Linked DNA regions of Astyanax mexicanus. The protein of the gene in region 1 purifies or fractionates together with the protein of each later gene. This does not show direct contact. Links are inferred from orthologs where the notes say so. Each region holds a gene or a part of one and is shown on either strand. Other genes may lie near its edges.

The links. Proteins that work in one complex are often made in the same cells at the same time.
Region 2: the proteins of ciao1 (region 1) and narfl purify together in Homo sapiens (affinity purification with western blotting; 3 studies listed by BioGRID and IntAct, with this or other methods). This does not show direct contact. The link is inferred for Astyanax mexicanus from reciprocal best matches to the Homo sapiens genes CIAO1 and CIAO3.
Region 3: the proteins of ciao1 (region 1) and pole purify together in Homo sapiens (affinity purification with western blotting; 3 studies listed by BioGRID, with this or other methods). This does not show direct contact. The link is inferred for Astyanax mexicanus from reciprocal best matches to the Homo sapiens genes CIAO1 and POLE.

Annotation. Positions count from the first base shown.
Region 1 is NC_064419.1:34,890,193-34,898,396, reverse strand, and holds the start of ciao1 (probable cytosolic iron-sulfur protein assembly protein ciao1), read left to right. Parts: upstream 1-4,493; 5' UTR 4,494-4,624; coding exon 4,625-4,763; intron 4,764-6,069; coding exon 6,070-6,218; intron 6,219-6,425; coding exon 6,426-6,537; intron 6,538-6,712; coding exon 6,713-6,801; intron 6,802-7,646; coding exon 7,647-7,848; intron 7,849-8,204. Other genes in the region: tmem127 (transmembrane protein 127), read right to left, coding at 1-154, 565-729, 1,190-1,427. UniProt on the Homo sapiens protein: Key component of the cytosolic iron-sulfur protein assembly (CIA) complex, a multiprotein complex that mediates the incorporation of iron-sulfur cluster into extramitochondrial Fe/S proteins.
Region 2 is NC_064426.1:28,303,249-28,311,542, reverse strand, and holds the start of narfl (cytosolic Fe-S cluster assembly factor narfl), read left to right. Parts: upstream 1-4,593; 5' UTR 4,594-4,803; coding exon 4,804-4,869; intron 4,870-6,835; coding exon 6,836-6,931; intron 6,932-7,109; exon of another isoform or gene 7,110-7,127; intron 7,128-7,822; coding exon 7,823-7,966; intron 7,967-8,090; coding exon 8,091-8,226; intron 8,227-8,294. Other genes in the region: zgc:113333 (beta-N-acetylhexosaminidase), read right to left, coding at 80-153.
Region 3 is NC_064429.1:31,313,739-31,322,007, reverse strand, and holds the start of pole (DNA polymerase epsilon catalytic subunit A), read left to right. Parts: upstream 1-4,568; 5' UTR 4,569-4,943; coding exon 4,944-5,008; intron 5,009-6,411; coding exon 6,412-6,547; intron 6,548-6,749; coding exon 6,750-6,830; intron 6,831-6,925; coding exon 6,926-6,970; intron 6,971-7,062; coding exon 7,063-7,155; intron 7,156-7,595; coding exon 7,596-7,750; intron 7,751-7,961; coding exon 7,962-8,106; intron 8,107-8,269. Other genes in the region: lztr1 (leucine-zipper-like transcriptional regulator 1), read right to left, coding at 60-139, 249-305, 392-454, 2,084-2,253. UniProt on the Homo sapiens protein: Catalytic component of the DNA polymerase epsilon complex. Participates in chromosomal DNA replication.

The DNA.
Region 1 (8,204 bases):
ATGGAAGCTCCTCCAGCTCCTGCCACCAGATAGAAGCTGATGGCAAAGGTAACGTAGATAAGTGAACCATGATACTTCTTGTGCTGCTGCTGAAGAGAGAGGATGAGCTCTGAGGCCCAGTAGCAGAAACCAATCACAGTGGCACACTGGAGCACTGCAGAATGAAGCACAATAGTAAACATATTTAGAGAACAGCACAAAAATTTACACCGTCATTGCATACGGTCACTGAAATGCTGGCATTTGCACAGCCGCAATGCAAAATCTTTACTATGTGGACTTCCTGTGAGTATTGTATGTTTATGCAATCCAAAAAAAAAAAAGTAGTAGTAAGTAGTAAGATTGTAGTAAGTAGTAAGTAAGATTGAGTGCCAATATTTTTTTAAATACATCACTATTTTTGTTATAGGCCAAATAAATAAAGCATTCTCTACATATCAAGCCAATTGTTAATATATAGAGGACTGACATAACAATGTTTCTTTAACCCTTTTTTACTCATCATTTAAACACATTGTAAATGTGCCAATAATGCATTAAATGTCACTACCACACGCTAAATACCTGTAAGAATGTGAGCAAAGGCATATCGGCGTGTAATCTTGAGAGCAGGGTGTTTGGGTCCAAAGACGTCCAGTAGAAAAGCTGTCAGGCTACATAAAATGCCCAGGAAACAGAAGGCAGCAATAACTCGCAACAGCAGAATGGTCTGGGAGTTAATGCAATAGTCTGTGGCAAAACAAAAGAAACAACATTTATTTATATACAAAATAAGAGTTGCGCATAGGTACATGGAGCTTCATCATCGCAAAAATCACAGTAAAGTAATCTGTGAACTTTGTGTGAATGTTTAACACATACACTTCCTGTTCCATTTTAATAAGATTTAAATTACTCTAAAAGACATTTTTTTTATTAGTTAATCATTGTCATTTTTTAAATGTATTAAGTCTCCTCAGGCCCACTGCCAGAGAGAATTAAGATTATAGCTATTAGATTCCTCAGGCTCTGTCATCCAAGCAGAATCATATCACAACTTGCATCCCTTACAGGTGAGTTGTTGAGTATTGAAGTGTTGTGATTGTATCAGAAACAGGCCTGTTCCTTTGGTAAGTGTTATTAATAAACATTAAGCAGTCAGTTTAGGTCATAATAAGAGCATAAAAGACTAAAGTGAGTAAAAAATGACCTTTAATAAGTGTCTCGTCTATGTATCCCAGAACGTCAGCCACTCCAAGCTCCTGCCTCGGGCAGGTTCCCCCGTGCACCCGCAGCCAGGCTGGCTCGGCCAGGGCTGTGCACAGGGCCGTGATGGATAGTGCGCCAGGCAGCGCAGAAGCCAAACTTCGTTCGGGTTGTTTGGGCAGTGCTGTTCCACCTCTTCTCCTGCGGGTTCCAGGGAGAGCAGGTCCCGGTGGGGCGTACATGATGTGTTTCTCAGATATAACAACTGAACAGCACCAGGTTCAAAAGTATCAAGTGGTTGTTTAGAAATGTACTGCAGAAGAAAAAAAAAAACACATACAGGGTTCAGGAGAATGCATCTGCATATGGAAAATACATGAGTCTAATGTATAAACTGAAACAAAGGGTCAGAGTATAACAGACAGATCAACAATGGTGCATGCTTACTTCGCTACATGACCAGCTGATCCCTAAAGACCTGTATTTGGGTTGTCACTGATTAGCAAAATTATGGAGTCCTGCTAATTACCTCCTGTATCCATAAAAATAGTGCATGCCGATGGTTTAGTGGGGCCTGTGATAAGCAAGTCATGGCCATATACACTACATGGACAGCTGGGATTGGGATTATACGCCATTGAAATGCCCAGATAGCATTCTGACAAGTATGGAATATTCAGATATTTAGTTAAAAAAAAAAAAAAGTATGGGTCAGCCACTTTTGATGACCAAGCAGAGTGTAAACTGAGTAAGCTGAGTTGTGTGCGCAGCCCTTAACCCCTTTCCCACTGCGTTTCTGGTCCCAGCTGACTAATCAAATAATCAAAACTAACAAAATAATCATTAGTTGCAGCATGGTCACTAAAAGTGACAGACACAACAGATTACATATATTACCTCACTAAATAGCAGTATATTTCAGATTGATCATAATGTGTTCTGGGCATTTAAATCCCATGTTAAGCAGTTACTATAAAATAATAGTCAGATTAGTCAACTAAAAAAATAATCATTAGTTCCAGCCCAAATAGCATGGGATATTTTAAGACCCTTATTATTACGATCACCTGATATTTAGATAGTTTCCTAGTATATCTGTTGGCGATTAGTTGACATAATCGACAATGTTGATTATAAAAATGTATCGACTGTAAGTAACAGTGTGAACTAATAGTTAATACTATTTGTTACTATTTGTAACTGCAGTGCACAACACTTTCTCACTAAATAGCAAAACATTGCACATTAATCGGAATGTCTTTTTCTGGGCATTTAAATGTTGAGCAATGTCTATCGTTTTGAAAAGACAGAGAACTCTAGGAACAGAAGCCATACCCTCAGGAAATAGAGAAAGAAATAATCATTGATCTATCTGAAAAATATTCGTCAGATTAGTCAACTACCAAAATAAACATTAGTTGCAGTCCAAGCAGCTAGTATAAGGAAACAAATCAGACATGACGAATATGACTCACTTAAGACTCAAGCAGGAATCACTCAGCATAAGTAAGCTAACCTAGGTTAACACGACATTATTTCAGAGATCATTAAATCCTTAAAAGTCATTTATTCTATAAAAACATTACTAACCGAGCGATAACAGTATCAAAACTACACTTAACATTTAACCTAGGTTAGTTAGCTAGCACCGCGATGGCTACACCGCTTAGCTAGGTTACGTTAAATCTTGTTTTCTATTAAACATTTAGACGTCTGAATGTGTCGCTTTGGTCCCTTAACCAAAGAAAAAATACTATCCACCCAGTCAAACACTAAACCCACCTGTCGGGCGTGTGGAAATCCGTCCTACTGAGAAACAGGCGAAGTCATGAGGGGGAGAAGTCGAGCTTCGTCGCGGCCAAAGCGGATATTTTAACTCGGATACCGAGAGACTCAGACAGACAAAAGAACCGAAAGAGCTTCTCACACGATAAAACACCCACACCACCCTTACCATTCACCTCCGCCCGCTGCCCCTACTCACAATATTCCCCCTCAGAGTGACTGCTCTGTCTAATACAGCCTCATTCTCCTGCTTTATATCAAAATCCCAATAAAAACAAAGACAGCTCCGAGCTCAGCCGCTAGCCTAGCTACCCAGCTACCTCCCTCTGTTTCCATCCGCACACTTCCGCTTCCTGTAACGTGACGTTCTGTAATAAACCCTAATCCGTTTGTTTATCTGTTTATTTATTTAGTAAAATATCGTATTTTATTATTTTATCATTAATTATTAAAATGTTACCAAGTTATCACTGACATGTTTCCTTTTTTTGTATTTAACTCAAATGTGTTTCTCCCAAATTCCAAATAACAAGATTCAAGATTTTTATTGTCACGTCACAGAGTACAGGTGTATGTACATGTGAGTGAAAAACTTGGGTGCAGATCCCCACCAATGTGCAGAGAATAATATTTACAAGAAGAGTAATAAAATAAAATATAATATAAAATAAGACTTACAGATAGCTTTACAGTATAAACACTATACACAATACACTCAATAACAATAAACATAATAACTTACACTATAGACAAATATTGCACAGAATAAGTATTGCAACAATATTGTCATTTAGAGCATTTATATGCAGAAAGTGAGAAATTGCTAAAATAAAAAAGGTGCAGTGCTTTTAGACCTCAAATATTACAAAGACATATTACAAGCTCATATTCATAAAGTTTTAAGAGTTCAGAAATCAATATTTGGTGGAATAACCCTGGTTTTGGAAAAAATATGAGACCACTTAAAATTATGAGTTTATTGAAAACCTCTGGAATATAACCAAGAGCAAGATGGATGATCACAAGCCATCAAACCAAGCTGAACTGTTTGAAATTTGCACCAGAAGTGGCATAAAGTTATCCAAAAGCAGTGTGTAAGACTGATGGAGGAGAACATGCCAAGATACACGAAAACTGTGATTAAAAACCAGGGTTATTCCACCAAATATTGATTTCTGAACTCTTAAAACTTAATGACTATAAACTTGTTTTATTTACATTATTTGAGGTCTGAAAGCTCTGCATCTTTTTTGTTATTTCAGACATTTTTTATTTTCTGCAAATAAATGCTCTAAATGACAATATTTTTATTTGGAATTTGGCAGAAACGCTGTCTGTAGTTTATAGAATAAGAAACAATGTTTATTTTACTCAAACATATACCTATAATCAGAGAAACTTCAGAAAATGAAGTGGTCTTTTAATATTTTTTTTTCCCCAGAGCTGTATATACAGTATACATCCCTGTAGACTGGAAGCTGTGAGGTTCGCTGTTCCCTGTAAGCGGCGCTGTGTTATAAACCATGTGTAAGGGGGTAGTCAGTGAAGAAAAGAGCAGGAAGGCAGGTGGAGGCATCTGATAAACTAACTGTCAGCAGATAAACATTAGTTTTGACCGGTTTAAGCAGGTAACTGGACGCCGAAACGCTCCTGAATGAAGGACACGGTAGAGCTGGTTCAGCGGCTGAGCGCTCACCCCGACTCCCGCTGCTGGTATGTAGCCTGGAGCCCCAAGGGTTCCCTTCTGGCGTCCTGCGGCGGAGATCGAGCGGTCCGGATCTGGGGGAAAGAAGGTCTGATACTCAGTTCTCACTGTGACTAATGTTACTTTACCTGTGTCTGTGTACAGTGCATCTCAAACAAATTAATATAACTGAAAAGTTACTATTTTAGTTATTTAGTTCAAAATGTGAAAATCATATAATATATAGATGTATTACACAAAGAGTGATATATATATTCTAAGCTTTTATTTCTTTTAATGTCGATGATTATGACTTACAGCCAATTAAAACCCAAAAATCAGTGTCTCAGGAAATGTGAATATTACATATAACCAATTGGTACTTTTGGCAGTGTGGGCAGTGTGCCAAGTCCTGCTGGAAAATGAAATCTACTTCTCCATAAAAGTTGTTATTTTGCAGGAAAACACTGCATGGGATTTTGACTTGATACAACACAGTGGATCAACACCAGCATATGACACGGCTCTCCAAACCATCACTGATCATCAGTAAATTTCGCATTTCATTTGGGAATCAAGAGATCAAGAGTATGGAGGAAGAGTGGATAGTCACACAGTCCAAGCTTCTTGAGGTCTAATGTAAAGTTTCCACAATCAGTGATGGTTTGGAGAGACATGTCATCTGCTGGTGTTGGTCCACTGTGTTATATCAAGTCTAAAGTCAGTGCAGTGTTCTCACGAAAAATCTTTCAGCACTTCATGCTTCCCTCTGCTGACAACTTTTATGGAGATGCAGATTTCATTTTCCAGCAGGACTTGCACACTGCCCACACTGAACTACAAGCATGATCAGCCTGACCAAGCTAGAAGATAACCTGTATGACCAACCTGGTCAATGACGAGCATGACCAAAATCATATATATAGCAGTGCAGACGAAGCACTGCTTAATCATCTAGATAATCAGTATAAAGTATGTTTTTTGTGTATGTTTATGTCTTTTACCCACCTAAAGGTACAATATGTAGTATTTGCCTACAGGTCTGTTACTTTTTTACTGACATACTGCAGACCCTACAGCTGGTTTTAAAAGAGGCATTTTACAGCTCACAATCTGCATTCTACCCTCACAACATGTTTCTGTGTAAAATTAAGTAATTTCTACTTTAAGGTAATATTAAATTATCAAGTTTATTACCTTTAACTATCAAAGGTTAGTTAAAAATTAACGTTATTTCCATGCTATGAGTTCCTCAAGTAAAAACACTTGTAACCTGAGGAGGATTTTAGTTTAGTTTACTGATCTCTGATGTCTAAGGTGTCTGTCTCTATGCCCATGTACTGACACAAGAACAAAACTTTTCACAGCAGAATGGATGTGCAGGTTAATTTATGTGTCCTGGCCTGTTCACACAGGAGACAGTTGGGAGTGTAAGAGTGTGCTGTCAGACGGACACCAGCGGACTGTCAGAAAGGTTGCCTGGTCACCCTGTGGGAATTATCTTGCATCGGCCAGCTTTGATGCTACCACTTGCATCTGGAAGAAGAAGAATGATGATTTTGAGGTAAAACATTTATACACTCTCCAAGCATTGTACAAAAACTCTGCATTGATATTGGGTTGTAATTGTGTATTGGATTACAGATAATTCTCTGTAATTCTCATGGATTGTCCCCTCATGGTTTGGGATGCCTGTGAATTTAAGACTGATTGTCAAAGTTAATCATAACAGTGTGGTAACTTTTACAGTAATAAGTGTGTGTGTTTTTAGTGCCTTACAGTTTTAGAGGGACATGAAAACGAAGTAAAGTGTGTAGCTTGGGCTCCGTCTGGAAACCTGCTGGCCACCTGCAGCAGAGACAAGAGCGTGTGGATATGGGAAGGTTTGTAAAGGCAGTGTTACTTTTTACATGGTCTTTCATACTTTGTATTGTTAACTCTGTGTAGTTTCTCAGCTTCTCTGGGTAGTTCTTGTGTTACAGTTGTAACACGTTTGCCATCTCCCATGCATACAGACATAAAAATAGATTTTTTACTTAAGTCTTTCTTTCTCTACAGTTGATGAGGAGGATGAGTATGAGTGTGTGAGTGTGGTCAATTCTCACACACAGGATGTGAAGCATGTAGTTTGGCATCCCACACAAGAGGTAACATATCTTTGATGTATCTTTTCACGTGATACTGTGAAGCGACTTTATTGTGTTGTCTACAGCAGTTAGTGAGTATGTTTACATGCACTGTATAGTCTACATATTCTAAGTTTATCTAGTTTATTCAGCTAGTCACGGAAACAGCTTGCTCATAATTCTGTAATTATGAAATTAACCATAGTATTCTTGGATTTTTCAGTCTGAGCATAAGTGAAAACAGAAATTGGTAATGAAAATAAGCAACTAAAGGATTTATGTAATCCTCGTATTCTAGTTGATGTATATTCATATTTTGGCTTGATGTGTTAAAAGTTGTCAAAGCAAAATGTTTTTTTTTTATATATATAATGTTTACACCTCAGATTTACTGTTTTAATGTGATTTTCCAAATAGAATAATATTGAATATTGATATAGAAGATGCCAGAGGGAATCTCAGTCAGTCTCAGTCTATCAGAGCCCATAAAGAATATAAAAGTTTAATATGAAAAAGGCTGCTAATAAATAATCAAACAATAGCTTGTGCATTACTTTTAAATTGTTCTGTCTGTTTACAAATAAAAAAAAACTGTTATGTAAAAAGTTATATAAGAACCAAAAATAGTAATTGTAATCGAGAATCGCTCATACATGCAAAGAATATTGAGATTAATGTTTTGTCAATATCACCCAGCCCTAGTTCACTGTATATTAAATTTGACGTTATTCATGTCACATTATACTGGTAATCACAACATATCTACAATCAATATATAAATATATTAGTAAAAAAAAGACCAATATGACAAAAAATCCTTATAGATAATGTATTGTGCAGCCATAACATGTCTTCTTCCTCTACAGCTCTTGGCGTCAGCCAGTTATGACAACAAGGTGTGCATTTATAAAGAGGAGGATGATGACTGGGAATGCAGGGCAACTCTAGAGGGACACACGTCGACAGTCTGGAGTCTTTCCTTTGACCCAGAGGGACACAGATTGGCCTCCTGTAGTGATGACCGCACTGTGAAAATATGGAAGGAGTGCACACCAGGAGATGGCGAGGGTACTTTCACAACTTTTGTTAGTCTGCTTCTAGTCCAAATCTGTTAATGAGTGTGTACACTTGCAGTGTTGGTTGCCAAGAATGCCATGGTTAGTTTTCACACAGGGAAAAAGCCAAGAGCCAAAAACCAAAATGCTTTTCAACAAACCATGTGAGAACCTTATGTCTGCTTATTGGTTAGTCCGAGTTAAGCATATACAAGAAGAAGGTCCTGTGGTTTGGACTTGTGTAAATATCTGTACAGTTACACGTGAAGCAATGGCAGATGCCATTTGTTTATAGTTATATTAGTAAATATCTGGGTATGACATGCTAAACTGCACATGCTGAGCCAATTAGCTCAAACATGTAAAGTG
Region 2 (8,294 bases), on another chromosome or scaffold:
ATAGGAATCCAGTAATCTAAAATTTGAAGTAATCATCTTTGTTCATCTGTTAATCTTAATTATAGTTATAAACACTCACCTGTACAAGAATTTTATCACGGCAAGAAGCGCCAAGCAGAGAACCAGCAGCCTCAACACCTTGTGCCTGTCCATCTCGCTGTCACTACAGAGACTGCAGGGAAAACCAGAGAACACCCAATGACATCCACAATGTCAGAAACAAATGACACACCGCCTGCTGAACATCTGCATAACAAAACCCCTCTGCATATTAAAATACTTTAAGTAATCAGTAAGGAGATGGGATTCAAACCTAATAAACAGAGGAGTGTGGTCAGTTAAAGATCACCCCTTATCTTAAAAAAAACAATAAAATTTAACTTTTTGAGAACTTTACATCTGATAAACCTGTTTGGAAAATGTGGAAAAACGAGTGTGCGCGGACCACACCTCTGACTGGCATTCGCAGCAAGGAGAGTTTCTGAATGGATACATAATCCTGTGTTTCTGTCTGGTTGTCAGTCTGTCTGTCATTTAAATAAGGCCATTCAAAATGTGGCGTAATCTGAAGGAGGAGCCGACAGTCTAATGTCATGATAATTAAAAACAATTTCACAATACACAACCTAAGGCCTGTCATGTTCATGACCATTTTTATTTAGATTTGATATGCTGTCCCAAAAGTAACTAAATAAAATAAATGTACAATACTGAGCAAAAGTTTTAGACAGCAAAGCAAATTACACTAATCCATTTATCTCCTAAAAAAAGGACCACATATGATTTAAACAGATGCAAATAAACATAAATACAGTAAAACGTAACAAGGAATTCTCATTTTAACTAAGTATGTTATATCCTGTGAGCCAAACTGAAAAACTAAGTGTGGTTTCAGATTTCTTCTGGATGCTCCTCAGCCAGCATGTGTATATTATGTTCAGTTCCGTCAGCAACTCACCTGATTTAACAAATTTACCAATTTACCAAACCAGTTGTTGATTAATATGATGAGAACTAGAAATAACTCTATTAAACTCAGATGAGGAGAAGAGATTAGGAGATGTTTTAAGGAAAACAGGGATGTAAAAGCTCTGCTTTTTGTAAAATTGCTGTTTGTATTTATTGTAATGCTGGTGTTTTACTGAGCTAATGAACACTTACTTCACAGATAAGAAGCTTTTTCTTTAATGAAATTCCCAATGGTGCCTAAAACATTTGCACAGTACTGTATATTTTTTAAATTATTTTATAATTTTTTCTCCCCAGTTTAGCTAGGCCGGTGGTCCCACCTATGCAGCTGCCACTCAGCTGTATATCCCCCCATCACAGGTGATGCCTCAACACAAGAAGGGAAAAGATAAGCACATGCCACTTCTGATACATGTAAAGTCAGACTCCGCCTCTTTTTGAACTGCTGCTGATGCGCAGGAAAGCGCAGCGACTCGGTTCTGATACATCAGCTCACAGACGCCTTGTGCTGATCGACATCACCCTTTGGAGTGATGAGAGGAAAGAGTGCCATCTACCCACCCAGAGAGGGAGAGAGAGCAAGGACAATTGTGCTCTCTCTGGGCTCCGGCAGCTGATAGCAAGGTGCATGACCGGGATTCGAACCAGCGATCTCCTGTTCATAGTGGCAGTGCTTAGTCAGCTGGCCCAATCGGCACCCATTAAATTATATTATTGTAATTTTAAGAGGAATTATATACAGTAGCAGTCAAACGTTTGGACACACTTGTTCTCATTCAACGTGTTTTCTTTTCTTTTCATAATTTTTTAACACTAATTGATACGCATGAACCAGCCAATGAAGTTTACAAGCTAATAAAACAGTAGCTTACCTCTGCACGCTTCACTAAAGAAAAAAAACGACAGCTAAGGCATTAGAGCTTGGCAGCGTTCGAAAGCCAAGAAGGCAAAGTAATAAACGCTCATTTTCAGAGCTAATTTTATGTGATATTTAGACACTTTAATCATGTTTACTTTACTGAGTAGGATCATTTGGGGGTTGTGACATAAAATATTTTGGTAAACTCGCCTCATGCTTCTTTTGTTTTGTTTTAAAAGCAGAAGTAACGAGTAAAAAGTAATAAATTAAAGTACAGGTAAAAGAAAAAACATTACCTGCACTGGTTTAATATGCACTACTGCTTTTCAAATGAATTATTAAGCTTCACTTACTGTCAGAATGCCTGTGCCTGTTTTCCCTCAGGTAGTGCTGTATTTATTGGCTTTATTTCCGTGAGTGGCGCTCACTTATTCTGAATAAAGAGATTAATCACTCTGTTCTGTCCTCACAAACCACGCCCATACACTGGGTAAACCACGCCCATGTAGTCCAAACTTAGTAAGCCACGCCCATAACGTCCAACCTTAATAAACCACGCCCTTAGTTCAGCTTATCATAAAATAAGATAATATAAGATAAGCTAAGATACCATTATTATAAATGCAGTGTGCACAAAGAAACTGAGCAGCATTCCTTAAGGTGTTTAAGACATACAGTAAAAACATTAACTGAGAAAAACTATAATGTAGAAATAATAATAATAATAATAATAATAATAATAATAATAATAATAATAATAATAATAATAAAAACATATATATTTTACATATATATGTTACAGTTATTGTGTATTAAGTTACACTTTAATTAAGTTAATTAAGGTACACTTTTACACACATATCCACAATAAAGAACTTTTTCAGAACTGGTCAGATTTGAAAATGGATACGATGGATACTATTAAATGATTTTTTCAACAGCAAATTTCACCACCATCACAGGTCCAAAACACATAAAAAGCGATTTGAAAATTTTCAAATTTATGAATTGAGCCGTTAAACATTGAAAACTCAAAAAGTCAGGCGAATTCTGAATATACAAAATGCAGACTTAAAGAGTTGTCAGCTTTTTTAAAATCCATACTAGTATTTTTTATGTGGATGGGTGTTTTCTGTATGGTTACTTTTTTTCTGTAGTGTTTTATTAATTGATAAATTATTAATTTTAATTTAATAACAAAGGAAGAAAAGGCTACATGCAGCAGATTAAACAGTACCGGAGCTGGTTTATGGAGAGAAAATGACAGAAAAAGCGCTAGAGGGAGCCCGCGAGTGAGCCCAAAATGAATGAGGGTGAATAGAGCTAAACGGCTAAAAATACAAATTAACAATAGTAAATATCTACTTGTCCAAGATTTGTCTTTAATTCTGGTATTATTCTGGTGTATTTTGGTAAATATATAAAGAAAATGTAACTATATCATTGAATTATTCCTTAGAAGCGGGATTTGTGCAGTAAAGGCGCTAGCATTAATGCTACTGTGAGCTGATGCTTTGACTGGAGTTACAGTCTTTAAAGCACTTTCAAGGGTTTATAGCTGGAGTTTACACGCTTTATTTTTTATGTTGGTAATATTTATAGCTTAAATGTAATGTTAATACAGATATTGTACCTAACACAGAGCTGATGTAATGTAATTGTAATGTAATTGTGTGTTTGTAATGTATCCACTGTAATTGGTAATATAAGGATAAAGGGGAAAAAAAGGCTAGTGGCCAATATGTGATGTTGTAACCAGGATTTGCTTAACCAGCATGTGTTCATTTTATTAATACAGGCTGAAATGCTCACTGTATTGTAATACTACCTATTTAACTATTTACCTATAGATCTAGTCAGTGGTTGTGGTTCAGAAGGGCTGAGGCTGTGTGGGGAAGGGAGTGAGTTTGTGCTTCTACAGCAGGCTTGGAGGGGGGTGGGTCTGGGACGCCAGACTTCACTGTTGAGCCTTCTGGAGGTGTCGTGGGCCTAATTCAGCGAAACACTGACGAAGGAAGGTGCCTGCCTGATGACCCCTGAGAAGAGCTTGCACTGAAGTTTGTGTTAGAGTTTGGATGAAGGGGATTGGTGTGGTCCTGCTCTTGTAATAATTTGTCTCATGAGTTTTTGTAGACGTCTGAGTACTTGGCAGTTGAGGCACGGACCATGAACATAGTTCGCTATGCTTCTGGATTCTTGTCGAGCCAGTATCAGATGGTAGTGGTTGCTGTGTTCTGCTCACGCAACTTATAACGTGATTTATTGTGTGTGATTGTGCTTAGGTAAGTGTGTTGTTGCCATAGTTAAAGGAAGTGAGCTTAGATTAAGGAGGGATTCTGTGTGTTCATAGGTTATTTTTTGGTAGGTCTGTTACTTGGCAGTTGAGGCAATGGACCATGAACATAGTGTTAGGCTGTGCTTCTGGATTCTTGTCGAGCCTGTATCAGATTGTGGTGGTTTTGCTATTGTTGTTAGTTGAGTGAGTAGTAGTTCCTGGCTGAGCCCTATGCATAACCCCAGCTGTTAGGTGCAGGATTTGTCAATTTCCTGTATTATATTACTTAACCTTTTCTTTTTTAAGGAATGTGTAAAACCAGTGAAAGTAGACAAGAAGCAAGGAAGATATGTGGCCAAAATCCAAATAAAAGTTATTTCTGCACTGATAAAAACTGATGTTTTTAAATATTATTCTGTGTTAAAAAAAATAGTAAAAAAAAAATAGTATGGCAATAATTAAACATGAAAAAACTCTGATTATGCTCTGATCATTCCTCCATATGAACCCATTCTTTTTGGTATAACTCCTGAGCGCCCTCTGTTGGTAATAATAACTAATAATTCTCTGACCGTTCTGTTTCATGCATGCGGACTACACATGCTGCTTTACTGCCCTGTCGTGCTTAACCGTGACTGACCAGATTTACGACACTCGTCACGCTTGACGGCAGTGTTGTTATATCGCGTGATCAGGCGGTATGGCGTCTCATTTCAGCGGCGTCCTTCAGTTAACAGACCTGGATGATTTTATCACCCCATCCCAGGTAAACTAACACAGCCACGCGGGTTATTAGGATTAAGTGGTGATATATGTTTAGATTACCGCTGATTATTTTAGCCAGGGAGGCTGATATTGTGCTGTTAACCTCAGTTAGCTTAGAAACTTAGCCAGCAAGCTAACAGCCAGTTATAGCTAACTTACAGTCAGCTGACTGTAAGTTTAGACCTAACCCACAGTATAATCTATCTCATTTACTATACTAGTGTGGATGTATTACACACAGAGTGATTTATTTTAAACGTTTATTCCTTTTATTGTTTATGATTATGGCTCACAGTCAATGAAAACCCAAAAAAATAGTAGCTCAGAAAATTAAAATATTATATAAGACTTCTGGCATGAAGTGCTGTAAGATTTTGTGGGAGAACACTGCACTGACTTTAGACTTGATAAAACACAGTGGATCAACACCAGCAGATTACACGACTCTCCAAACCATCACTGATCATTGTAAATCAAGGGAGCAGAGTCTGGAGGAAGAGTGGAGAGACACACAGTCCGAACTTCACAGTGTGAAGTTTCTACAATGATGATACAATGATCTTTAAGAAACTCCTGAAGACAGAGCTCTTCAAAGAGCACTTACTCTCTTAACACCTCTAACACACTAACTACTTATAACCTCATTTCCTTCTTCCCCTCCTTCACTCCTCTATCCTATTATTCCCCTTTGACCTCCTTTTATCCCTATCCAAAGTTGTTTTTACCTTTAAACTTATTTTACATTGTACTTGACTATTGTAAGTCGCTTTGGACAAAAGCGTCTGCCAAATGTAATGTAATGTAATGTAATGTAATGGAGAGACATGTCATCTGCTGGTGTTGATCCACTGTGTTAAATCAAGTCCAAATTCAGTGCAGCGTTTTCCTGAAAAACCTTACTGTACTTCATGCTTCCCTCTGCTGACAACTTTTATGGAGATGCAGATTTAATTTTCCAGCAGGACTTGGCACACTGCCCACACTGCCAAAGGCACCAATTGGTCTTATATAATATTAAAATTATCTGAGATACTTTAAATAGATCACTCTAAGTGTAATACATCTATATAATGAGTTTCACACATTGAACTGAATTACTGAAATAAAGTATATTTTTAATGATGTTCGATTTTTTTTTTAGACTAGTAGATTATAGTGCTCGGGTTTTAATTTAGTTAGGTTTGTGACTTACTGTACTCTTAGGAGTAGGGGTGGGCGATATGGCTCTAAAATAATATCACGATATTTCAGGGTATTTTTGCGATAACGATATACTTGGCGATAGAGGAAAACTAAAATAATTCATTCATTTCAGGAATATAGTATAATAGTATAACAGAATAATCACAATGTGGGAAAATAAATAATATAGCATAAAATAATATAATGCAGCAAATAATATTGCAGAATATTTAGTGCATGCATATAAACTGCAAACTAAAACAATTATACAGTAAATACACCTAAAGCTTCACAGTAAATAATAAACTACTTTTAAGACAGAACAGCCCTATTATCACGATATGGATTTTTAAATATCATAATATTTCTGTGTCACGATATATTGTATACGATATAATATTGCCCACCCCTACTTAGGAGTACATATTATGTAAACATTCAGGCTTTAAATGAAGGCTTTAATTATTATTGGGTTTAGTTTTGTCACACAAAATAACTGGAGTTTAGAAGCTTTAAAAGCCATGTTGGTGATCTTTATTACTTAAATGTAATATTAATACAGATATTTCACCTAACAGAGATAATGCCATCAGTTTAGGTTATGTTGTCATCTGTAAATGTATCCACTGTAATTGGTAATATAAGGATAGTATGGGGGGAAATTGGGGTAAAAAAAGGCTAGTGGCCAAAATGAGAAATGTTGTAACCAGGATCTGCTCAGCCAACATGTGCTCATTTTATATATGCAGATTACTACCTATTTAACCCATTCTTCTTCTTTTTAGGAATGTGTGAAACCAGTGAAAGTAGACAAGAAGCAAGGAAGATCTGTGGCCAAAATCCAAATAGAAGACGATGGCAGTTATTTTCAGGTCAACCAGGTTGGTGAAGTATCCTGTTCTTTACTGATTATGATGAGCAGATTTCAGGTCATTGTGTATATATATATTATGAGCTGTAAGTAGGTATAAACTTACTTTGTTATTGCAGCATAATGATCACTGTGATGTAGCAGCAAGATAGCCCATCACCAGGGTGACATTGTATGAATGAACTTACCTTTTAATCCTGCCTCATAGAGGGTTAGAAGGGAAAAGGGACGCAAAGGGAACCGGGGCTGCTTCTCCTGGTAGGACGAATCCACTTTCAGGGAGTGCTTCTTGTTTATCTGAAAAAGAAAGAAAATTAGTTAATACATGTGTAAAAAAAATAGTGATCAGTTATCTGTATGTCATTACCTGTGTATGTTAAATAGTGCTATTGTGTGTCATTGGTTTTGTCTGTTTTATCTGTTTAATGTTTAATGGATCTCCACCCCTTAAGGGGGTTTGTGGTTTAGTCGGGGCAGGGCTTAATGTGTGAATACCTGGCTTGGGTACTCGGTTGGGGGAAAAAAAAAACTCTCTCGGGGAAACTGTGTTGCTTGTAGCAGCGCATGGTTTGTAGGTTTGTAGAGAGAAAGTGAAACAGTATCTCAAGATATTTACTTTTGTAAATATGTGTAAATACTTACTGTTTTTTTTTTTTTGTGTGTGTGAATCTTCGTAAATAAATAACTGTGCACTTTTATATTTGGCTCATATCTTCTGTTTCACACCACATTAAGGGTCCTTGAAAAATTGGTTGCATGTAAAATCCAAAATTAATAAAGCCGAATTACCCACAGCATTTGGCATCACATTGTGTTACACAACGCTTTTGTGTGATCCAATATGTTGACCTACTCCTTGACATTCCTTGAGATCTGATTCAGCCTTGTTTCCCATATTTAGGATGGCCAAAGGCAGAAGCTGGAGAAAGCCAAGATTACGCTAAATGACTGCCTGGCCTGCAGTGGCTGCATCACTTCAGCTGAGAGCATCCTGATCACCCAGCAGAGTCACGAGGAGCTGTACAGAGTGCTGCGCCTCAATCAGGTATTGCTGAGTGGTGTTGACTAAAAAAACATGGGTGAAATGTCCAATGTAGCCACCGTAACACAGTGTAGATTCTTTACAGGGTGTGCTGCTCTATATGAGTAACAAATGTATCCTTTTACAGCAGAGTAGCGGTGGTGAGCAGAAGGTGGTGGTGGTGGTATCAGTGTCTCCACAGTCCCGGGCCTCACTTGCTGCACGCTATGGCCTAAGCAGCAGCGAGACAGCCAGGAGGCTTACCGCCTTCTTCAAGAATCTGGGTGAGCAGGCAAAATGGAGGAAAGGCACTGCAACTTAGAACACAGAAACTTTAAAAGTCCACTCTTAG
Region 3 (8,269 bases), on another chromosome or scaffold:
CATATTATATATATATATATATATATTATAATAACAATAATAATAAAAAATACACATACCAAACACAAACATGCTGCTCCCATACACGACTGCAGAGTGATGATATCTGGGTGCTGGTGGAGTGCCAGTGGTAAAGGCCCTGTTCAATTAAAATACATGAATAATATGATTTTAAAAAGCATTGCATTTGTAAAAAAATAAATAATAATAAAAACAAATAATAATCCTTTAAAATTCAATTTACCCACCGACACCATGAGCAGTCCTTCACATCAAAGCGCAGCAGATCATTAAGCATGTTTTTCCTGCAACAATATCATTAGTGAGACTTTCAATAGCTGGTTAATTTATTGACGTATATTATGTTTCACACCAGCATCCAATTTCTTACCCATTGTCTCCTCCAAACACGTAGATGGCATCCCTGTACGCCACCACTGTGTGCTTGCTGCGTCTGTAAGGGGACAAAGATAAATCAATAACTTAACGATGACCAAATACTGACAATACCACAATTTTTTGAATAAATTGATTTAGTAAACATACAACTCTTTGGGGTTCAAAAAGTTATGCTATTTACATATTTAACTCTTTGAACCCAAAAAAGCAGTATGTTTAGTGAATCATTTGTTGCAGTTACCCTAAAATTGATAGTAGTTAGTGGACGACTTGTAGTAGTTACTAAATCATTTCAGCTTGTCAATTTACATTAGTACTCAATTATTCACAGTAGCTTCCACATAAGTGGCTACGGAATTATTTACAGTAGTTTACTCAATTAAAAAAAATAGTTTAATAGTTTGCACTTTCAAAGATCTCAGTGTGTCGTTTTAAACGTCCGGGGCCTCAGAATTCTACCAATAAAGTGTGAAGCTACTTTGAGCTTGTTACTGGTGTAAAAAGTGATTTCTTTGCATGGGCAGCACTATGCCCCTATCACTAGCATTGTAAGCCTGTTAGTTGGGAGTATCAGCTAAAAGCACTGTATTTCTGAATGCTGGAGGTGAATGGAGGTGGGCTATTCAACAAAGGCTTGTACTCATGTTTGTTATCATGTTTTACTACACCCTAAGTTCATTTTCAGTTTTCTCAGCCCCGTCCCAACTTGAGTAGTGGGTTCTGATTGGACAGCGATTACATTTCATTTTGACACTCACTCCACGATGCTCCTAGACGAAATGCAATCCTGTGCAGTGTGATTTGCTTTTGAACATTCACAGCACTGCACAGTGGAATACAATGCAGTTAAGATGATTTTGTTGAGATGCATTTCAAGTGCAATTCTGATACGAATTAAGCGTTTGGTTTTGAAAATGTAAATTCTTGTGTACTGTTTTTTTAATGATAATAAAAAAGTGCAGGAAAATGTAATGCAATAGTGGTTTTGCATTTCATTCTGGCATGTATTCAGCATGTTAGTGAAGAAAAGCAATGCATCTTGTGGATTGCATTTACATTTTTTTACGGTAGCGTTTGGTTTTCAATTAGGCACCAATTTCTCTCTATTCATAGGTAGCTACAGCTCTGGAGAAAAATAAGAGACCACTTAAAAATTATGAGTTTCTTTGATTTTACCAAATCCAAAACCCCTGGAATATAATCAAGAGGAAGATGGATGATCACAAGCCATCAAACCAAGCTGAACTGCTTGAATTATTGCACCAGGAGTGACATGAAGTTATCCAAAAGCAGTGTGTAAGACTGGTGGAGGAGAACATGCCAAGATGTGTGAAAATTGTGAAAACCAGGGTTATTCCACCAAATATTGATTTCTGAATTCTTAAAACTTTATGAATATGAACTTGTTTTCTTTGCATTGTTTGAGGTCTAAAAGCTCTGCATCATTTTTGTTATTCCAACAATTTGTTCATTAATTTTCTGCAAATAAATGCTCTATATGACAATATTTTTATTTAGAATTTGGGAGAAATGTTGTCTGTAGTTTATAGAATAAAATAACAATGTTCATTTTACTCAAACACCAGAGAAACTGATTCAGAAACTGAAGTAGTCTCTTAATTTTTTCCAGAGCTGTATTTATACTGAAACCTCTGTATTTTGGGGGTCCAGCCCTGGTGCTTACCTTGCCCCAACAAACTCGTCGCAGGGTGGGAGTCGCCTCCAGCGATGGACGGTCTCGAAGGGACCGAAGTTGAGTGTCAGATACTCAACACTGTCCGAGCAGCTGTGGTCGAAGTCCACACTCGGGGCCACTTTGGACTTACAAGACATGGCTCCAGGAAACCATGACATTCAGCTGGAGCTCTACCCGGCGCTGTGTGACCGCCACGGGGGGAGAAATCAGACAGCTCGGCCTGGAGAAGGAGGGGGGCGGGTTTCTGACTAAAACAAACCACCAGAGCTAGCAGACAGTGCGGAGCTTTAAACTCAGAAGCTCATAGTAGCCTAATATCCTCCATATTCAGCATATTTACCATTATTATATTTATATAAACCTGTTTAACTAGCTAATAATAAACGCAGCAGCAGCAGCAGAGTTTGACAGACTCTCAGCCTTCCATTCTGCTAAGCTAACGTTGCTAAGCTAAGGCTGGCTAACTATCCAACCTAAAAACCAACCCCTAAAAATCAGGTTTTCTTTAAGGCCCCTCCTCTCAGATATTATCTAAAGCTCACTTTATGTAACAGGCAAATTTTAAAAGCTGCTGCTTTAGAAAGATAAAGAGCATAACTGATATTTTAAGCCAAACAACCAGTTAGTTAGCTAAGCTAGGCTAGCTGTTGCTACTTTCCTCATCGCTCCTATGGGCGGAGTCTCCCCAGCAGTTGCCATGCGTGATTTTCTCGATTCTGATTGGTGGATTCTCTCACTTACTCGCTCATTCATGTTTTTACTTTGTATTATTTATTATATGTTTTTATAAGCATTTTTCAATATCATGAACGGTTTTATACCATGAAATATCGTGCAATATCACCCAGCACTAATTATCACATCAGGGTACTGCTTTTTTGCTGTTTTTAGCAAAATAAAAATTCACACTCTTCTCATTTCCCATTATATATCTACCAGAGAAAGATTATATCTGTCCATTATCATTTATTCGACTTTATTTTAGGATATATGGAGATATTTGGAGTGCATTATTATTAGTATCATGACATTTTGGATCACTAACTTTTGTTAAAAATCTGTTAAAAAGTCTTGTATTTTTTAAAATCTCAGTTAGGGGTGTGCCATATCATATCGTATACAATAATAAAATGTAAGCTTCATTTTGCTGCAGTAGTGTATTCTTAAGATAATTTTATTTCACACACGCATACAAACACATATATAGTACCTAACCCTATCTAAACAGTATTTTTCAGTATTTTCACATTTCAGTTCTCATAAATAATGCATTTATTTAACAGGATTTTAATAAATGAATGGGATGATTAATATGTGTTACTAAAGTATTCTTTAATACAGTTATTTAGGACAATTGCAATTTATATCACTATTGCCTGTATATTAGAAGGTTAGAACAAGGAATTGAATAAGCAGAAAAATAAAAGGTAAACATAATAAACAAATAAGTGAAATTTAAAGAATCCTCAACATTAATATTAAAGATAAATAATATTATAATATATTATAATATAATATTAGCAAAGTCATCGTAATAAAAACACGGAGGGGGGTACGTAATAACGCTATAGTTTATTTCCACTTTAAACACTGAAAAAAAAAAACATTTAAACAGGTTTAGATACAGTCATTTATTCCATTTCCGCCACCTGAAGAAAAAAAAAACGTCCTCAACTAAGTCATAATTATGAGATAGTAAGTCATAATTATGAGATAAAAAAGTCATAATTATTAGATAGTAAGTCATAATTATGAGATAGAAAGTCATAATTATGAGATAGTAAGTCATAATTATGAGATAGTAAGTCATAATTATGAGATAGAAAGTCATAATTATGAGATAGAAAGTCATAATTATGAGATAAAAAGTCATCTCATAATTATGACTTTCTATCTCATAATTATGACTTTCTATCTCATAATTATGACTTAGTATCTCATAATTATGACTTTCTATCTCATAATTATGACTTAGTATCTCATAATTATGACTTTTTTATCTCATAATTATGACTTACTATCTCACAATTATGACTTAGTATCTCATAATTATGACTTACTATCTCATAATTATGACTTACTATCCCATAATTATGACTTTTCTATCTCATAATTATGACTTAGTTGAGGACGTTTTTTTTCTTCAGGTGGCGGAAATGGGCTTCCATAGTCATTAGTTCAGGAGCAATGCTTTTTTTTTTTTTTTTTTAGCAAAAAAATGATTTCTAAAATGCACCAAGGACCAATCCCAAATAGCAACAATGCTCCATATATACTGCATATAAGTTCACTACTTAGTTGAGTGCAGCAGCTGTCAATTTCTAGTGCCCTACATAGGGTGTATAGCCATTTGGGACGCGATCCAGGAGCTTCCATGTGCCAATCTGTGCCCCGATTGGTCAACAGGCATCAAGGGGCGGAGCCGTGCGCGCGGAAGCTGATGGGCTCTCGCGGCAAGTAGGGCAAAAACCCGCCAAACTCAGACTGGGGAAAACAGTAAAAATAGCCGCGAATATTAGAGAAAAATTTCAAGAAACTCTATTTTATATGCGCTTTAACGCCAACCGGCACACTCTACTTGTTACGGAGATGTGATATATAGTTGTGTTGGCTGAGAAAATAGAGAGAATTGAATGTAAATCGCTTATATATGTTTGTAAGTAGTTACGATAGCTAGCTGTGCTAGCGCTGGATGACAAGAGTAGTGGTTAGTTAGCTAGCGGGGGTTTAGCTTAACTAGCTTAGCTAGCTAGCTAACCTTTCCAGACACCTTAAGCTCTATAGAGCCTCTGTACTCAGATTGTTTACTAGTTAACTTACTAGCCAGCGGTTAGTAGCTTAATTCAGGATGGTTCTACAGAACAGTGGAAGATTCAGAGTAGACCGGGATGGAGGAGACCAAGACAACCAGCAGTAAGTTCTCACAACACTGACAACTAACAGCAGCAGTAGGAGGAGGAGTAACCAGAATATAACCTGAGAATGGAAAGAAATATCAGGCCTAAAATGTTGCTGAGTGTATAAAACAAAGCTGCAGTAAATATATTTAACGTGTGTTTGGTGTTATCTTCTATTTTAGGGGATAATTACAGTCTGATTTTAAAATGTAAAGCTTAAAGTGAGAGCTACCTTGGTTTTAAACTAGGTTAGGTAGGTTAAGTATTGTCACTAATTAAATATCTGGTATGGAGACATATGTAAAATCACTAAGACGTTGCTGAGTGCAGAACAGAACTGCTGTGAAACTTATTAGATAATGTGTGTTTAGATTAATCTTTTTTTTGGGTTAATTATTGTCTGATATTAAATCCAAAAGCTTAAATGTAGAGTGTAAGTTCTGATATTAAATCAGCAGAGCTGGGTGTTCATAATAAATATGTGTGTTCTGTATAGTAGAGGTGGGCAATATTATATCGTGACACAGAAATATCATGATATTAAAAATCCATATTGTGATAATAGGCCTTGTTTTGTTTTAAAAGTAGTCTATTATTTACTGTGAAGCTTTAGGTGTATTTATTGTATAATTGTTTGTTTGCAGTTTATATGCATGCACTAAATATTCTGCAATATTATTTGTTGCATTATATTATTTTATGCTATATTATTTATTTTCCCACATTATGATTATTATGTTATTCTATTATACTATATTCCTGAAATGAATGAATTATTTTAGTTTTCCTATATCGCCAAGTACATCGTTATCGCAAACAATACCCTGAAATATCGTGATATTATTTTAGAGCCATATCGCCCACCTCTACTGAATAGTCAATATTTTAACACTGTATAATCGTGAAACCTGGATATTGTGCCTAAAGAGGATCTAGATTTGGTAATGAGACCCATTAAAAATTTTCCCTCATTCATTTTGTCTTATTATATGTGCATGATGCAGCATATTGATTGTGATTTTGTATCCAAAGATATGTGGTGGGTTTTGATATATACTTTTTTTTAAGCTATGATTAATTACAAAAAAAATATTCTATGATATTGTATATCGCAATAATAAATTGTTATTGTGAAAGGTCTGTATATTTTACTTGTATTTTAGTAATTCAGACACGTTAAAATAAATTTCAAAACATAAAGTCACTCAAGACATCCAAGGCAAAAAGAAAAATATGACAGAACTTGACCAAAGGAAGATACACTACAAGTAACACTGATGCTCTTTTATACCTGATACTCTGATTTGACACTGATAAAGCGAGTTGCTGTTGTTCCCAGCCGCTTCCACTGTGTTATAATATCACTACAGCTACTGTTTATTAAAAATGTGCTAATGTAATGAATTGTTTTGCCTAAAGGGATGATGGACCCGGCATGTCTGCCGTCAAGCGGCTTGAACGAAGTCAGTTTACTGATGGAATGGACACACGCTTCGGATTTGAGCGAATGAAGGAGCCTGGAGAAAAAACTGGATGGCTGATCAACATGCATCCGGTACGTGGTCAAAAGGGTCATATACACAATAATAATAATAATAATACTCTGTTAAATGTCTGTTCATTTAATACAAATTAAGAATGTATAAGAAATAATTAACCCAAATTCATGAAAACATCATAACACTAAGCACCTAATAAAGCAATCTGTAGAGTTTTCACTGCTCTCAGTAACTCCTGTGATATCTCACTTCTGCCAGACGGAGATTTTGGATGATGACAAGAGGATGATCAGTGCTGTGGATTATTACTTCATTCAGGAAGATGGCAGCAGATTCAAGGTTAGGAATAATGTTACTAAATCAGCAGTTGATGGTTTGGTTAATTTGTTTCCCTCTCTATTTCATCCTTTAACATTCACTGTTTATTTTTGTAGGTGGCTTTACCCTTTAAGCCATACTTCTACATAGCCACTAAAAAGGTAAGAATAAAAATGTATCTACAAACATTTAGTACAACATATAAAGTAGGGTTTTTCCAATGTGACCTCTTTATTTTCTGTAAATTCTGTAGAACTGTGAGAGAGAAGTCGTCTCCTACTTGTCAAAGAAGTACCAAGGAAAGGTGGCAAAACTGGAGATTGTGCCCAAAGAGGATCTAGATCTGGTAATGAGACACATTACATTTTTACATAATTTATTTAGCCTTTTTTAATTTTTATGACACAGCATGTTAATTGTAATACTGTGTGCAAAGATATGTGATGGCTTTTATTGGGTTTTATTAAACTTTTTTTTATTCAGTAAGAACAGTGGCATCTTAAGAATTAAGCACTGATGTCTAGAGGCTGACAGCAATCTTTGCATGTGAACTATTCTTTAAAAATATTGCTGTTTTTTAAGAAACGATACAGTATTACAAAATATTTTTGTGATTCTCGAGGATATTGATATTTTCTTACACCCATCATTGTAACTCTGTTGCATATCAGATTGTCTGTCAGTCTTTCAAACCTTTTATGTGCTTATAAATTCAGAAATTTCTCTCTATTTATATTATGTTACTTTCATTTTAGTATTGTTTTAATATGCTGTTGTTTATTCCAGCCGAACCACCTGGTGGGTCTGAAGAGGAACTACATCAAACTGTCCTTTAACACAGTGGACGACCTAATCAAAGTGAAGCGAGAGATTTCACCTGCCGTTAGAAAAAACAGGGAGAGAGAGAAATCTAATGATGCCTACACCAGCATGCTGTGCAGGTATTTTTCATACATCCCAATTTAGAAATTACACATAATAATTGCCATTCTCTTTGATTATTATGGTTTTATATGAAACTCATTACAGTTTTATGTTATTTTCATGCAAATGTAACCTGAATTGAAACAATATGATTACACAAATTGCACAATATTTAATCAGAATGTTCTGATTATATAAGATGTTCACCTTTGGTGATTTGTGTTGTAGTGTACTCGCAGGTGGGAATGTGATGACAGCTGATGAAGATGGTACATCAAAGAAAATGTCTGACCAGCTAGACAACATTGTGGATATGAGGGAGTATGATGTACCTTACCATGTAAGGCTGTCCATTGACCTCAAGATCCATGTGGTAAGAACACACTCCACAGATTCATAATTAAGAATTATGTTGTATAGAACACATTTGCATGTGTGGTCTCATCCCATCCATGTTTTGCACTGTGCTACGAAGTTTTCTAGTGGAGCTAGGTGTTAATATTGTGCTGACAGGTTTAAATTAGTTAACTTTGTCT